Macaca fascicularis: one gene and its partner. The main gene of each other region encodes a partner of the protein of the gene in region 2 in a complex. Links are inferred from orthologs where the notes say so. Each region holds a gene or a part of one and is shown on either strand. Other genes may lie near its edges.

Region 1 (3,770 bases), on a different chromosome or scaffold from region 2:
GGGACCGGCAGGACCCTGAGGAGAGCAAGGAGAGCATGAGATCTTGGCCAGGGGAGGCTGAGGCTGGGGCTGCAGGATGAGGCCTCCCCCTGCTGCATCTCTCTCTCCTCAGCCCCTTCCCACTGTGGCCATCTCTCCCAACTCCCAGGGAAACCTCCCCACTGCAATCTTCATGAGAGCTGGGGCCAGCTCAAGGGAGAGGGGGTCCTGTCTGGGAGAGGGGACTTGAGGCTGAGCTTTAACTCAGTTTTTTGGATTAAGGCCCCGACATCTTGCAGGATCTCCTTTCCTCCCCCTGCCTGGGTGAAGTCCGACACCCATCCCCAGGCCTCTAAGGAGGCCTGGAGAGTCCCTGGCCTGACCAGACACAGGGAACTGGAGCCCAGCTACTTACAGTCTCACCACGATCACCACTCTTGCCAGCAGGGCCAACGGGGCCAGGGGCACCAGGAGCACCAGGAGCACCAGGAGGTCCAGCGGGGCCAGTCTCACCACGGTCACCCTGGCGGGGGAGAGCAGAGGAATATGGGCCAGCTCCAGCTGAATGGCCAGGATGGGGCAGGGAAGCAGCAGACAAGGCTGTGGTCATGGAGTGTCACCATCTTACCTTGGGGCCAGGAGAACCATCTCGTCCAGGGGAACCTTCGGCACCAGGAGCTCCCTGCAGAGAGAGAGAGAGAAGTGAGAGTCAGCCAGAGAAGAGGACTTAGGCAAGGCCACAGTGGCCATGCTGAGGGTACTGGCATGGGGGCTGGGGACTGCTCACCTCACGTCCAGATTCACCAGGGGGTCCGGCCAATCCAGGGGGGCCCATGGGACCAGGGGGACCACGTTCACCACTTGCTCCAGAGGGACCTTGTTTGCCAGGTTCACCCTAAGGGAGAAGAAAGAGTCAGGCCAGCGACAGGGTCTGAGAGGACCCATGAGTCCCCTGAGGTCATCTCTACCAAATCTGTTCTCCTTGGCTCCACCCCACTCCAAGTCCTGTGATGGTTTTTCTCAGGGTCCCCCAAGGTGAGGGGGGCACTTACAGAGGGGCCAGGAAGACCAGGGAAGCCTCTTTCTCCTCTCTGACCAGGCAGGCCGACCACGCCACGCTGTCCAGCAATACCTTGAGGCCCGGGAGTACCAGGAGCACCCTGTGGGAGGCAAACAGGGGTGAGGTGCGGGACAGCAGCACAGGGACCCCTCCTCAGCTCTGGACACCTCTGGAGCTGCAGAGATCTGAGCTGGCACTTACAGCAGGCCCATCAGCACCAGGGGATCCTTTCTCGCCAGCGGGGCCAGGGGGACCAGGGGGACCAACTTCACCAGGACGTCCAGCAGGGCCAGTCTCACCACGGGGACCTTTGCCACCTTCTTTGCCAGCAGGACCAGGAGGGCCAGGGGGTCCAGCATTTCCCTGGATGGGGATAGGAGCGGCCGTCAGACTCCAGGGGGCTCTGGTGCATCATTGGTTCCTCAGTCGGACCCACCATCCTTCTGGCAGCCCGCACCCACCACCCCCAACCTAGAGCAGTGGACTCCACCGCAGAGACTTACAGAGGGGCCAGGAGGACCGACTCGGCCAGCAGCACCAGGGAAACCAGTAGCACCCTGGAAGGGAGAACAAAGGAACCGTCAGAGGGAGAACAGCCAAGTCATCCTATCCAGCTGCCCTCACCTGCCACCGCTGCCTGGGGAGAGGGGAGAGGCTCAGCAGAGAGGCAGGTGATACTCACAGGGGGACCAGCGCTGCCACGAGCACCTTTGGGTCCAGGAGCACCAACATTACCCTGTAGGAGAGTACAGAGGCATCAAGCCTGGACCTGTCCTGAGTCCTAGGACACCAGCATCACAGGCAGAGAGGGCAAGCCACTCACAATGGGGCCAGGGGGTCCAGCGGGTCCGGCAGGGCCAGGGGGACCAGCATCGCCTTTAGCACCAGCATCACCAGGTTCGCCTTTAGCACCGGGTTGGCCATCAGCACCCTGGGGGAGGAAGCAGGGCCGTGAGTGCAGGGAGGCAGGCAGGAGTTTCCACCGGCGGGGCAACGGGCAGTAATGGAGGCAGGAAGATGCTTGGGTGGGAAACAATCCCGTCTCCACCCTTCTCCCCAGAGGAGGGCTGACGCCTTTGTCCTCATTCTGTCCCTCGAGGTCCCAGGTCCCAGTCGGTGATGAAAAATGAGGGGGTCTTGGTACTCACAGGGGGGCCAGCGAAGCCAGCAGGGCCGGGGGGACCAGGCTCACCACGGTCTCCCTAGAAGAAAAGGTGGCAGATTGGAGAGATGCGCTGACATGAGGGAAGGCGGAGATGGAGTGAGGGGAAAGGCAAGGGGTGGAGGCACAGACAGGGCCAGGAGTGCTATGTGAAGGGAGGGAAGGGCCAAGTGTGGGGTCTTAACAGGTCTTCTATACTTACGGGGGCACCACGAGCTCCAGTGGGACCAGCAGGGCCGCTGGGACCAGTTTCACCCTGAGAGCAAGGAACAAGAGGCTCAGGGTCAGGGCCTCCCCTGAATATTCCTGGTAGATGACCCCAGGAGAGCCTCCCCTCCCTCTGGTCCCTCCAGGTTCCCGGGTTGACAGCTCAGTTTGACAGGACCTGCTTTCCCAACCCAACCCCATGGAACCGTGCCCAGGCCTGCTGGGGAGGCTATGTGTTAGGGCAGAAGGTGGGGAAGCAGCCACCTCACCTTGTCACCAGGGGCACCAGCAGGACCAGGAGGACCAATGGGGCCAGTCAGACCACGGACGCCATCTTTGCCAGGAGAGCCATCAGCACCTTTGGGACCAGCATCACCCTAAAGACATGGATAAGCTTGAGATTTCCAGTGTGGGGCAAGGAGATGACCTGTAGTGTTCTGCTTGTGTCTGGCTTTCCTGAGAGGCCCTCTCCTGCTCTGCCCTGCCTCCACCTGGGGCAAGGACTCAAAGGTCCTTTCAGGAAAAAGGGTGCCTGCCTGGAGACTCAGGTAGAACTGGGGTTAAGAGGCCCCTGACTTGTATAGGGGGATGAATAAGGGAGTCTCCATCAAGGAGATGCCCCCACCTCTCATCACCATGGTAACTCATGGGGAGAGACAGGCCTGGACCACTAGGAGAGGATTCATCAGCAAAGAGGCCAGAGCAGAAAGGGGAAGAGGGGAGGATTAGTGAGAAGAGGAACAGATCCCAGGGAGAAGGAGAGATGATGAGGGATTCACAGTAGGCAGAGATGGGAGCCATGTAGGGCTCAGGGGAGAGGGAAGGTTGAACTTACTCTGTCACCCTTAGGCCCTGGAAGACCAGCTGCACCACGTTCACCAGGCATTCCCTGAAGGCCAGGGGCGCCCTGGCTACCGGGAGCTCCAGGGGCACCAGCATCACCCTATGCGACAACCAAGAAGACTGAAGTGAGGCATGGGGTCCCAAGAGTGGGTCATAGCCCTAAGCCCCGCTTGGTATCTCACAGGCTTAGTTCCAAGGCCAATGACAGGCCTTGAGAAAAGATGAAAAGAAAAGACTCACAGCCCAGACTCCAGGCTGTTTGTGGGCCCCTACCCTGGTTTTTTCCCCCCACCTTGCACCCTATCTCCATGGCTTTGGTCATAGCCAGCCATCCCCTGCTGCAGGAGGGGTGAGACCTGGTCCCCGGGCTGCTTGCCAGAGACCCTTCCACGCTGCCCTCACCTTAGCACCATCATTGCCGGGAGCACCATTGGCCCCTCGGGGACCAGCAGGACCAGGGGGACCTTGCACACCACGCTCGCCAGGGAATCCTCTCTCGCCCTAGAAGGGAAGGACAGG
Region 2 (3,770 bases):
CCATAAACACCTAAATATCCTGCATATAAAGTACACATCGCAAAGTACTTGTCTGACTGTCATATCTGACACCTGAATAGACACTTTTTGGGTACCTTTTCCAGGGTATTCTTTTACCATGTGGTCTTATTTGCCTTTTTGAATTTAAGAAAATCTATCAGCATCATATACCACCAGTCCTGCAGATTATATACATGAATCTACTTAGACCTAATAACCAAGTGGTCCTCAGTGGCAGATCAATGAAAAGCAAAACTCAAGGCAAGTGAAGGGTAAGAGAGATTGGCCAATCTTTGTACAGCCTCTGTGGGAAGTGTCTAGTTCAATTCCTCTCATATCTGCTTCTATTTTCCTGTTCTCCCGAGTTTTAAAAAGGCAGTGTGTCCTTCTAATGTCTGTATGTTCTATGGGAATTTTAAAGTCTAGGTGATACTCTATACAGACTGATATGGTTTGGCTCTGTATCCGCATCCAGATCTCATCTGGAATTGTAATCCCCATGTATTGAGGAGGGGAGGTGATTGGATCATGGGGGTGGTTCCCCCAGGCTGTTCTCATGATAGTGAGTTCTCACAAGATCTGATAGTTTTGTAAGTATCTGGAATTTCCTCCTTTGTGCTTCTCTCTCCTGCTGCCATGTAAGACATACCTGCTTTCCCTTCCACCATGATTGTACATTTTCTGAGGCCTCCTCAGCCATGCGGAAATGTGAGCAATTAAACCCCTTTATAGCAGTGTGAAAACAGACTAATACACATAGTTTAAAAATTTCATCTCTTGGGCAAAAATAATACTAGAGACTTATAGTCTTTCCCACCAAGGTAATCAACTTTTATTGGCCATTCCAGGCATTCTTTCTGATGTGGGTGGTTGGGATTGCTGTGCCTCAAGACCTATCCTGTGATAGTGGTCAATGGCAGGTGGTACTCTGGCAAGTCCTGCAAGAATGCCATATCTATAGAGATCTGAGTGTAATGACAGAATCACTATCAGCTAGTTTGCTTTAAAAATATCTTTCTCCAGGACTGAATTGACAGGTATCTGGCAAACTTGCAACAAAAGGAAAACATGAGTCTAGTCATGCCATTTAGGACAGTCTTGAAATTGCATTTTCCTTCACTCATGCCTTCTGGGATGTATTGAGCTGTACCACTCCTACACAGAGAATGCTTTTTGAGGTTATCAGGAACAGGGTTTTGCATTCTCATGACACAGTATCAAAGACGCAGCGGGCGTTTGCTAAGGACTTCATGTGCCCTAGGTAGTAAGAAGGAAAATGACAGCATGAAAGCAGCAATACCAGTAATAGTAGCCTCTGTGACACCAGGGCGGGGCCGAGGGACCACTTCTCTGGGAGAAGACCCAGGCTTCTCATACTTGATGATGTAGCCGGTGATCCTGGCACGTGGCGGCTGCCACGATACCAGCAAGGAATTGGGTGTGGTGGCCAGGAAACGCAGGTTGGATGGTGCATCAATGGCTGAAAGAAAAGAAAATTAAGTCTCTAAGAAGGCAAATAACCAAGAAAATTATTCCCACACTTTTCTCCCTAGCCCTTCTAAACACACTTAAAAGAATCTGAGAATACTGTAAACCGGAAACAGGATTCTCGGGAATCTATAATACAAAAATATCCGCCTCACTTTTGTTTTTTGAGTTCATGAGACTGATTGCATACAAGTCAGTGGCATTTCCTCAGTAGAAGGTATAGTTACCAGTGGAGGCGTCGATGACCACAGGGGAGCTCCGGGCATTGTCGTTCAGGGTGTACAGGTAGATCTTGTAGTCAGTGCCTGGTTGTAAACCTGGGATTTGAGAAGAGATGATTTTTACCAGTTCTTGCTTTACTAGGAGAATTCTCAAGCTCGCCTGCAGTTTTTCTGGGTTTCTCTATCATCCCATATTTATATAGACTATCAAAGTGGTCCACATTTGAACAGTAAAGTAGAGCATGGTATGGATGTAACTGTTAACAAGAAATGTATCTTGAAAGTGAATCACTGATGCAGATAAGGACACTGGCTAAAGTAAATTCTGGAATGCAAAAATGCTATATTGGAAGAGGCAACATTCATTGCAGAATGAGGGGCGGCCATTTATTGAGGTTTTCTCTTTATAGTAATCAGATGATCAATAGCTGAGCCTTGGATTCAGAATTTTAAAAAACTGAAAAAGACCTCAGATATTGAATATTCTTTGGTTACAACTTTGACCTTTATTAAGTAGTATCATTTACTTTTATATTAACTATGCTTTTTAATCTATACTAATGCTAAGATCTATACATCACTGTTTTTTATTTCTTTTAGTTTTAAACTTTGTGTTATAATTTTTTAAATAAGAAAGGGCACAATGATGAAAGATCAAACTTGTTGAATGAAACTTATGCCATTTCCATGACAAATATTACACAAAATCAGGCATTCAAAAGACAAAGCAATTTCTGATCATAGCATGAAAATAATGTTCTAAAACTGGGTAATGATAACACTGAAAATAAATTTTATCAGTGTCAGTCTTAGAGCAATTAATAAATCAGTTTACATTGTGGATATTTTTTAACAAATGTGGTTAGCACAGTGAGTTCCCTGACCTGTGATGGTGTAGCTTCTGACATCTGGCTTGATGGTTCTCTGGATTGGAGTCTGGCCATTGGCTGGAACAGCATCAACTTGGAAGCCAGTGATCGTCTCGGTCTTGGTTCTCCAGCTAATGGTGATGGTGGTCTCAGTAGCATCTGTCACACGAGCCCTTCTTGGTGGGCTGACATCTGTACAGGAGCATAACTAGAGATTAGTGCCTGCTTGGCTCATCCTTGTAAAGTTTTGGTATTTTAAAATGTTTCCTTGGTATATATCACATTCATCCATTTCAAGAAATATATAACTAGTAATGTGTAGATTATCTCCTTTGGCATTCAGAGAGAAAGGTCAACTGCAATTAGAAAATATGGAAAAAAATGGCCGGGCGCGGTGGCTCAAGCCTGTAATCCCAGCACTTTGGGAGGCCGAGACGGGTGGATCACAAGGTCAGGAGATCGAGACCATCCTGGCTAACACGGTGAAACCCCGTCTCTACTAAAAAATACAAAAAACTAGCCGGGCACGGTGGCGGGCGCCTGTAGTCCCAACTACTCGGGAGGCTGAGGCAGGAGAATAGCGTGAACCCGGGAGGCGGAGCTTGCAGTGAGCTGAGATCCGGCCACTGCACTCCAGCCTGGGCGGCAGAGCGAGACTCCGTCTCAAAAAAAAAAAAAAAAAAAAAGAAAATATGAAAAATCTACCTCTCATACACTTTATTTTGAAGAACTGAAAAGCTTTATAGATACTACCAGTGGTTCCTAGGGCTGGCTTTTTAATATCTACAAATATTTCAATAAATATTAAAATTATTAATGCATTATAATGTAAAAATATGTGTGGTAGGAGTTATAACATGGCCAGCTAACAATTATATGTGTGTGTGTATGTGTGTGTGAGAGAGAGAGCATGTGTATGTCTGTGTGTGTCTAATATTACTGCAAGTATTTTATCTTTTCTCTCAACAGGTAAAATGCCATCCTTCTTTTATAAACTATGAAACTTTGACACTTTACCTGACTTTTGAAAAGGCATATATCAAGTGATTGATACAACAGAAGACTAGAATCTAAGCCTGATTTTGGTCCAATGGTTACTGTGCTGTGATATAATTTGGATATTTGCTCCTGTCCAAATCTCTGTTGAGTTGTAATCCCCAATGCTGGAGGTGGGGCCTGGTGAGAGGTGTTT

The links.
Region 1: the proteins of FN1 (region 2) and COL1A1 are in contact, whole or in part, in a crystal structure (PDB 3GXE), measured with the Homo sapiens proteins. The link is inferred for Macaca fascicularis from reciprocal best matches to the Homo sapiens genes FN1 and COL1A1. Residues at the interface, in NP_997647.2 of Homo sapiens: Asp516, Gln517, Lys533, His535, Glu537, His539, Leu541, Gly549, Arg550, Gly551, Arg552, Trp553, Lys554, Cys555, Pro557, Gln560, Phe569; in NP_000079.2 of Homo sapiens: Leu261, Pro262, Gly263, Met264, Lys265, Gly266, His267, Arg268.

The regions. Positions count from the first base shown.
Region 1 is NC_088390.1:56,524,148-56,527,917, reverse strand, and holds part of COL1A1 (collagen alpha-1(I) chain), read right to left. Parts: intron 3,753-3,770; coding exon 3,654-3,752; intron 3,352-3,653; coding exon 3,244-3,351; intron 2,786-3,243; coding exon 2,678-2,785; intron 2,458-2,677; coding exon 2,404-2,457; intron 2,242-2,403; coding exon 2,188-2,241; intron 1,971-2,187; coding exon 1,863-1,970; intron 1,776-1,862; coding exon 1,722-1,775; intron 1,597-1,721; coding exon 1,543-1,596; intron 1,403-1,542; coding exon 1,241-1,402; intron 1,140-1,240; coding exon 1,032-1,139; intron 875-1,031; coding exon 767-874; intron 662-766; coding exon 608-661; intron 503-607; coding exon 395-502; intron 16-394; coding exon 1-15. UniProt on the Homo sapiens protein: Type I collagen is a member of group I collagen (fibrillar forming collagen).
Region 2 is NC_088386.1:111,261,197-111,264,966, forward strand, and holds part of FN1 (fibronectin), read right to left. Parts: intron 2,771-3,770; coding exon 2,594-2,770; intron 1,806-2,593; coding exon 1,716-1,805; intron 1,481-1,715; coding exon 1,301-1,480; intron 1-1,300. UniProt on the Homo sapiens protein: Fibronectins bind cell surfaces and various compounds including collagen, fibrin, heparin, DNA, and actin. Fibronectins are involved in cell adhesion, cell motility, opsonization, wound healing, and maintenance of cell shape.